Linked DNA regions of Sus scrofa. The protein of the gene in region 1 purifies or fractionates together with the protein of each later gene. This does not show direct contact. Links are inferred from orthologs where the notes say so. Each region holds a gene or a part of one and is shown in the gene's direction. Other genes may lie near its edges. The genes, in order: APLF and LIG3.

The links.
Region 2: the proteins of APLF (region 1) and LIG3 purify together in Homo sapiens (affinity purification with mass spectrometry; 3 studies listed by BioGRID and IntAct, counting the BioPlex papers as one, with this or other methods). This does not show direct contact. The link is inferred for Sus scrofa from reciprocal best matches to the Homo sapiens genes APLF and LIG3.

Annotation. Positions count from the first base shown.
Region 1 is NC_010445.4:73,828,217-73,832,669, reverse strand, and holds the start of APLF (aprataxin and PNK-like factor), read left to right. Parts: upstream 1-1,524; 5' UTR 1,525-1,793; coding exon 1,794-1,889; intron 1,890-4,453. UniProt on the Homo sapiens protein: Histone chaperone involved in single-strand and double-strand DNA break repair.
Region 2 is NC_010454.4:40,202,154-40,206,507, reverse strand, and holds the start of LIG3 (DNA ligase 3), read left to right. Parts: upstream 1-1,430; 5' UTR 1,431-2,735; intron 2,736-4,354. Other genes in the region: CCT6B (T-complex protein 1 subunit zeta-2), read right to left, coding at 1,150-1,286. UniProt on the Homo sapiens protein: Isoform 3 functions as a heterodimer with DNA-repair protein XRCC1 in the nucleus and can correct defective DNA strand-break repair and sister chromatid exchange following treatment with ionizing radiation and alkylating agents.

The DNA of each region.
Region 1 (4,453 bases):
ACTCAATTAGTTATAAGAGCAGTGCTTTAGAAATGGCTTCCCCAAGCTACCCTACATGCATAGTTAATTATGAACTAAGACAATAGTCACTGAGGCCATCAAGCAACAATGACTAACAATTATAAACAATGTTACATTTATTAAGCAACTATAAACAATAGCAGATGACTAAAGATGTAAAGTCCAGTTTCAGCTAGTTTAAGGTGCATGGTGACGGCTTCTGAAATCAGTTGAAAGCATGGAGCTATTTTTGCATATAAAGACAGTTCATATTTATTTAAAATCAGTTTATTCCACTTTGCACTTCCTCCTATTAATGAGGGGTGGTAGCCAGGAGTGGTTTCAGATACAGCTAAATACTTCTAGCTGAACTAAGGACAAATTCCCCTTTCTAGATGTGCGACTCACCTATTTGTTTCTGGACTTGCCAGGCCCACAGATGCTCCCATTCATTTGGCTGTTCATCATCCCAATTAGTTACAATGGTTAGAATTTCAGTGTTCGAGTTCAAGAGAGGACTTCCTCTTCAGAGTTTGGGGAAGTAAGAAAGCAAGCTGGTAAAAACAAGTTCATGAGTTAAGTTTTTGCCACACCACCCTCCTGCTCCGCAGCAATACAAACTGAAACCAAACTACCCTATTCTTGAAAAGAATCTCATATTAGGAGACAGTTCCTGTGCACTAACACGCACATTTGCTACTTCTCCCGGGAGCTCACTGGGGATAAAATGCGTTCTCCCGTTACAGTTATTCCAGAGGAGGCAGATGAACGTTTTTGAATTTAACAGACAGGGGTGCCTTGCTGAGATTCCTAAAATCCCACTAGGTATTTTCCTTCCTCCAAGTCCAGCTTTGGCTGAATACCTAGAAAACTATCTTCTTCTGCCCCTTTATGAACCAAATCGTGCTGAATTACCTTTCTAGTTAGGTGAGAGCTCACCCTCTTTCAGGTGTCACACGGACGGAGAGATCGGAAGGCCGCGCAGACACCCGGCTCTCAGCAGCCCTCACCCGAGGCGGACGCCGCAGGTCGGAAGGAATGACCCCACGTCCCATCTGAGCCACCCTACTGGCGTGCCCCGTGCAGATTGCTGATGCCATAGTCCACAGATCAAGGGGCAATGACAAGTAAACAACAATAACAACCGTCAGCACGAACTGTCACTGCCGCTCAGGCGGGACGAGCGCAGACTCTTCGAACACCGGGTCCTCGCCCCCTTGCACGCCCACCCGACGTCAGCCGGAAGGAAAGACCCTCCTACCTACAGGGTCGCAGCGAACTCTCCTTCAGCGATTTAAATCCTCCAGAATTCGAATCCTTCTCCAAGGTCTCTCAGGTCCCGCCCACTCTAGCCCCGCCTTGCTGACTCGGATTTCGCACAGGCTCAGAAAGGCGAGCGCATTGACTCTTGGTATTGGTAGTTTTCTCGGGGCCTCTCTGCTCGGCAAGCGAGGAGAAGGGAGGCGTCACGGACTACAAGGTCCGGTGTCCTTCGAGCGGGGTGGGCGGTGAGAAGGATGGGGTTGGGGGGGTTGACCGGGGGTTTTAAACAATAGTTTGGAGGCTGTGTGAAGGGGGAATCCCCGAGTGCGTCACTGGCTGGAAGGAGGGCCGGGACTCGGTACCCCGCGCCGGGGCCCCCGCTCCGCGCGGCCTGGACACACCCGGGCGCAGTTTTCACTCCCCCTCCCCCTGTGTTTTCGCGGGACCTGCGTAGGCCCCGCGCGTGTTCATGGAAGGCGGAAACGGCTGGGGGGACCCTCTCCTTCCAAAGGGGTCTAATCCTCGCCGCCATGTCCGGAGGCTTCGAGCTGCAGCCGCAGGACGGCGGTCCCCGGGTGGCCCTGGCGCCCGGGGAGACGGTGATAGGCCGCGGGCCGCTGTTGGGAGTAAGTGTGGCGGGGGCTTTGCTGGTCGGGACGGCCGCGAGGTCCTGGCCGGCTCCCGAGGCCCCTCTCCCGGACCTTCCCCGATTTGCTAGCACGCCGGCCAGGCCTGTCTGGATTTTAGAAGTTTGGGGGCAGCACTTTTTCAGTCAACTCGAAGCAACTTTCAGACTTTTCCTTCTGTTGCCTTTAAAAACACTGACTTGGGGTATCATCGTTGTCCTTTTACGCGGGGGTCTGCAAACTGGCCCTGGCTCCAAATCCAGCCTGTTTTTTTGTATGAGGGCATATACTGAGAATGGTTCTCAAATTTTCAAATGTAAAGTGTAAACAACCTGAATTAGTCTTTCGTGGAGAATAATTGCTCTAAGAGTTGAGAATATTGCCTCTTGGCTTGGTAGGCCACAGTATTTGCAGTAGTATCTGACCCTTTACGGGAAAAGTTTGCCAACCTCTGATCTTAGCTGTTCTAGAATAATTTCTTTTAAACTTTTGGCCCATTTGCCAAACTTTTATTGTATAGTCTTTTTCAGTAATATCGATGGCCCACCGTTCTGTGTATGTAGTGTTCCAGGCATTGATCTAAGAACTTCACTTGTATCAACTTTAATCTTTTCTAAACCCTTTGAGTTAGGTACTCTTATTATCTTCATTGTTCAAATAAGAAAGTTGAGCTATAGATTGGTTATTTAAAGGGCACACTTAAGCTTTTGGACACCGAGTGCCGATAGGCTATGCATTCTTCCTCTGGGATGTTTAAGAGTTTGAAAACTTGCCAGTTACATTGCGGAATTTTGTAAATCTCTCCCTCAATACGTATATATTTTTTCTTAACATTCAGCATGTCTGGTTTAGTGCCCACTTTGTGCCGCACACTGTGCAGATCCTAGCGCCCTGCGGTGCACAGAGATGAATGAGCCAGGCATCCTTGCCTCTAGTTTTCTTTTGAACTGTCCAGACCGACCTGTGTCAGTGAGCTAATACCAGGGAGTGAGGAATATGGACTGTTAACCCCAGTTAACCTCCAGTGTCTAAATGGAACCATTGGTATTGGCCTTAGGACCCTTCTCCGAGCAGGAAAGGGAGTGGTGGTTCAAGGTGGTGATGGGAAAGTCAGTTCTAAAGGGGTGTGAATGTATGAGTGTGTGTGTATATGTAGTAAGGTTATTAAGAAAGTTCAAGTTCATTTGCTTTTTTTTCTGGACAGGTATTTAAATGTTTAAATAATATTGTTACTTTTCTCCATAGGTTATTAACCTGTACAAATCTTTGAAGGAACTGCATAGTTAAGTTTCCTCCCTCCCTGCCTCCTTTCTTCTCTATCTCTACCCCTATTTTTCTTTCTCTCTCTCTCAATTAGAAATTTAACAGAGTAAGATACCCAGTTTCACCTGGTATCTTATGTCTAGTGACTAATGAGGTTTGATTTCCTTAACAAATTGTATTGTTTGCAAGAGTGCTGTGGATCAGCTTAAATGATATGAATTTTAAACCTCTTATTTTATAAAGCTGGCAACAGGTCACGGACCCCTTCATTATTTGTAGCTTGATCGTTGTGTAATAGGCTTGGTAATGTGAGATAAGCCTATTTGGTTTCTGCTTTTAAAAGTGCTAAGGAGTAGAAAGTCAATTTTTTGGTCAGGACTTTGCATTTTCTTTTTGAATGGTTATTTAGTGATGAGATTCCGTTGCCAAGTTTGGGGGGTGTTAGAAGTGGTTATAAATGATACTAGATGCTTTGAAGGAAAACTTTGAAAAACAAATCACCTTGTGGTTTTTAAGATTTTAGTGCTGACAGTCAGGTGTTTCTTCTCTACAGTGGTTTAAATTCCACATGAGGGTTGTTGTTTCAGATGGCAATTTCATTGAGTTTGTTTGTTTGTAGTGTAAGAGAGCAAAGGCTTATTTCTAAGTAAAAAAACTCAGGAAGGTCATTGTTAATTCATATCCATATGAATGGTTAATAATAATAAGGATGATTTTGAATTCTCTTAAATTAGCTAGCCATGTCTTTTGGAGGCAAGTTTCACAAACCTTCCTGGCCACACAAGCATAAAGGTTTCTAATTCCAATGTGTAAAACAATTTGACTGTGAGAATGTCTTCATGTTTTTAAAGTGTCAGAAAAACTCATATAAAGAATACGAGGGTATTCCCATCATGGCTCAGCGGTTAATGAACCTGACTAGGATGCAGGTTTGATCCCTGGCCTCGCTCAGTGGGTTAAGGATCTGGTGTTGCCATGAGCTGTGGTTTAGGTCGGAGACGTGGCTTAAATCTGGCGTTGCTGCAGCTGTGGCGTAGGATGGCAGCTGTAGCTCAGATTTGACCCCTAGCCTGGGAACTTCCATATGCTGCAAGTGCAGCCCTAGAAAGCAAAAAAAAAAAAAAAAAAAAAAAAAAAAAAGAATACTTGTAGGTAACAGAGCATAGTGAAGTTTCATTTTCTCATGCCCTTTGCCTTAGTGTGAATCATCAGTGAAACCAAGGTCTTTGTTTATGAAGTTGTAATTCTGCTTCATGATCACCAATTAAAAGGTTTTACAGCAGGATGAATCTCCAGGGAAC
Region 2 (4,354 bases), on another chromosome or scaffold:
GGCCTGGGAAGTTCCACATGCCACTGGGTGAGGCCAAAACAAAACAAAACAAACACCCCTACCATAATTTTCATGTTCTCCATCACCTTCAAGGTAAAATCCAAACTATTTAGCAATGATATAGTTTACCTTTCCCAGTCTGGATAATGTCTATTTTTCACTACCTCTTCTACCAAATGAGATCTTGTGGGAAAATCTTGTGGTTCCCTTAACATAACATGTTCAGTTTTGTTTCTGTTGGATCTACACCACTGGGCTTTCTTGTTCCTGAAGTTATTCTATCTAGAAGGCCTTTACTCCCTTCCCCAACCTGTGAACTCTTAACTCATCTTGCAGGACTCTGATGAAAAATCCTGTTATTTGAGAAGCTTTTCCTTTTCCCTTCTGCCATCAGTAATCAGTCCCTTCCCATATATATATTTAGCACATTCATCTCTACTAGAACTCCTTAAGATCAGAAACCGTGTCTTAAACATCTCATTCCCAGCATCCCAGTTAGAATAAATGCCCTCTTTCACCGCTAATTTTATTTTGCTCATTCCTCTGAAACTGTACCTCTCTCCTCTTACACCTTTTTTCCCTCACCAGTCACTTTCTCTCTCTTCTAAATACCGGTCCTAGGTAAACACAGGCTCAAAGGATGGCTATGATGAAGCGCTGGTACAGAGCGTACAACTTGCTCAAGGACTCACAGCCAAAATTGACAGAACTTGATCTTGCATAGCTAGAAGGGGAACTTGGATCCGAACCCAAGCCTGCCAGGCTCTAAAGCCCATGCCGTCTCCACTACAACACAATGCCAAACAAAATCCAAACTAAGGGCATAATAAAGAACAGGGGAGTTAGAGGGCCTATGTTTCATATGAGACACTAAATGAACTAACTTTCTAGTTGCATATGAACCTCAACAACAAGTTGGGGGGCAGGAAGGGGGTAGGTATGACAGCTTCACTAGAGGGCCCTTTCCTCGGGGAAAAGTTCTTCTCCGCCAGGCTAGACAGCTCAAGGCAGAAATGCCGAACGAGGGAAAACAGGCCCACAAGCGCGTGCACATCGCTCCAATCTCTTCGCGGAACGTCCAACGCAGAGCGCGTCGCGACACCCAACAAATCCCCAACGCCCTAACCGCCGCTCCAACCGCCGCCTCACATTTTCATGGTGCCCTTAGGGCCTAAGTTGGTCCGCAGCACATCCTGCAGCCCTCGGGCGGCGCATATATTGACAGCTAAAGCTGCCTGTGCCCGCGCCACCTCAGCTTTGGCGTTTACGGCCTTTATCGCGGCCATGGCCACCTGCAGCAGCGTACACGCCAACAAAAGCTGCCTCTGCCTCGAGTCTGAGGGAAACCCGTGCGCCACGGCCCACGCTCCGGAGCCTCAGCCAACCCGCGATCCAACAGGAAGTGACGTTATCAGGCATCGCCGGGACGGAAGCCAGAATCGCCTCGGGTCCGGCCGCGAAGATGGCGTCCTCCGCGTCTGCTCGGCCTTCGGCCGGGAAGCGAGTGGTGAATCAGGACGAATTGCGGAGGTTGATGAAAGAGAAGCAGCGTCTGAGCACCAACCGAAAACGGATAGAATCTCCATTCGCGAAGTACAACCGTTTGGGGCAGCTGAGTTGTGCCCTGTGTAACACCCCGGTTAAGAGCGAGCTCCTGTGGCAGACTCACGTCCTCGGAAAGCAGCACCGAGAGAAAGTGGCCGAGCTGAAAGGCGCGAAGGAGGCCACCCAGGGTCCGTCCGCCAAGAGGAAGGCACCAGATGCAGAGAGCCAAGATGCCAAAAGAGTGAAGGCCTCTCCGGTGCCTCAGGTACAGCCCTCCACTTCCGCCTTGCCCACCAACTTTGACAAAACCGGAAAGGAATCCACTAGAACGACCCTCAGTAAGTCTTCGGGACTCGGTTTACTCCCTGATTATGAAGATGAGGAAGAGGAGGAGGAGGAAGAGGGGCAGGGAGGAGGAGGAGAAGGGAAGAAAGGGGATGCCAGTAAGCAGCCGTCCAACGTACCGAGCAAGGAACACTCACTTCCCTCCTCGCGGGAGGCAAGTGGTAGTCGGCTGCCAAGCGGCTTTTCAGATACAAATCCTCCCAAGGCCCCTTTAATTCCTCATTCGGGGTCAATTGAGAAAGCAGAGATACATGAAAAAGTAGTGGAAAGGAGAGAAAACACTGCCGAAGCATTACCGGAAGGGTTTTTTGACGACCCTGAGATAGATGCGAGGGTACGAAAGGTTGACGCCCCAAAGGATCAGATGGACAAAGAGTGGGACGAATTTCAAAAAGCCATGAGACAGGTGAACACTATTTCCGAAGCCATAGTTGCTGAAGAGGATGAGGAGGGACGGTTGGACCGGCAGATTGGAGAGATCGATGAGCAGATAGAGTGCTACCGTCGGGTGGAAAAGCTGCGGAATCGCCAGGATGAAATAAAAAATAAGCTTAAAGAGGTGCTGACCATTAAAGAATTGCAGAAAAAGGAAGAGGAGAATGTTGACAGCGATGATGAGGGAGAGCTACAGGATTTATTGTCTCAGGATTGGCGGGTGAAAGGGGCTTTGTTATAGGATTTCACAGACGCAAGATTTCTACACCCTCTACGATTGTATAAAAAGTGCCGTCTCTCAATGTAACGTTTACTCCATGCCTAGAGATTTGGTGACCTAACTGGGTTGTTGAGATACAAGGAGCCTGTGAAGATACCGCTTTGGAAAACTGGTGTAAAATATTTTTGAGGTAAAAGTGTTTTTGAAGTTTTTAAAGTATTATATACTAAAACGCCCACTTTTTCACACACAGATCTAAAGTTTGAGTTGTAAAAGCTGTAAGCTGTAGATACTGTACATAGTTAAATATATATTTACTTAATTCTGCTTTGAAGTTTGTAAATTAATAGAAGTCAGACCAATGGACAAGCTTTTAGATGAAAACCAGGTGTGGCATCTGAGGTGGATATGGCTTTTTCTTTTCTGACTCCCTAAATCTAACTCAAGAGGGTTGGGGGGACTGTTTAAGAACACTATTCATAATACATGTTATTCAAGGCTAATCAGTTCTCCACATATTCCATTTCGAAACCATATTCCAGGAGAACATGGTGAAAGATACATGCCAAATATGACTAACCTCCTTAACCCAGAGTTTCTCTTTATTGAACCAGTGCTTTTCAGATGTAGGTACATGTGTAGATCTCATACAAAACTTTTTTTTAAAGTGCACGTGAGGGAGTTCCCTTGTGATGCAGTGGGTTAAGAATAGGGCAGATGTCACTGCATCAGCTCAGGTTACTGCTGTGGCGTGGCTTTGATCCCTGGTTCTGGGACTTCCACATGCCGCAGGCCTAGCCCCCTCAAAAAAGTGCACGGTGAATCACCTATGAAGCTTTTTAAAAAATTCATGTGCCCAAGCCCTACATTTGGAGAGATTGAGTAAATCTGGAGCAGGGCTGAGACATATGTATCAAATTGAAGGCCTCCCAGGTTATTCTAATAAGGCCAGAGTTGGCATGACATTGCTCTACATTCAGAACCCATTTATATATTTCTAGGCTTTGTTTTTTTCTTCAAGTGACAATTTCATAAGTTTACTATCTATTGCATAAAAGAAATGCCACCTTTTATTTGTATCCCATCTAGTCTTAAATTTTATGATTACATATTTTGGTAAATTAGCATTCAGAATTAACAGGTTTTATAAATTGTAGGAAGGTGGCATTAAGTTGTTTCTCTGGTAACACTTGTGCTGATCATTGATAATTGAAATCGCTTATGCTGATCATCGATCATGAAATTGAAATCACTCCTCCCTTTGGAGATAGAGGTATTCAAATAAGAAAAAGAAATGAGCAGTGTTCCAGGGATAGGCATGCATACAGCGCATTAGAATAAACGTGAGCAGGAGTTCTTGTCATTGTTTAGCTGGTTAAGAACCCGACTAGTATCTATGAGGATGCGAATCTGATCCCTGGCCTCAATCAATAGATTAAGGATCCAGTGTTGCCACAAATTGTGGTGTAGGTCACAAACGTGTGGCTGTGGTGTAGGCCAGCAGCTGCAGCTCCAATTCGACCCCTAGCCTGAGAACTAACATATGCTGAGGGTGCGGCCCTAAAAATACAAAAAAAAGAAAAAAGGAATAAAGAATGAGCAGTAGTAATAATAGCTAAGACTTTCTTACAGTATAAGCTAGATAGAGTTCTAAGTGCTTTACAACTCAGTCTAACTTCCCTAAAGCCCAGGTTTTAAGCCCAGGGATAAGGTCTGTAAAAGCCTTGAATGTTGAATGAAAGAATTCTCCATGTAGGCAGTGTGGGAAAAAAAATGGAAGTTTTTGAGCAAAAAAAACATTATGGAGGT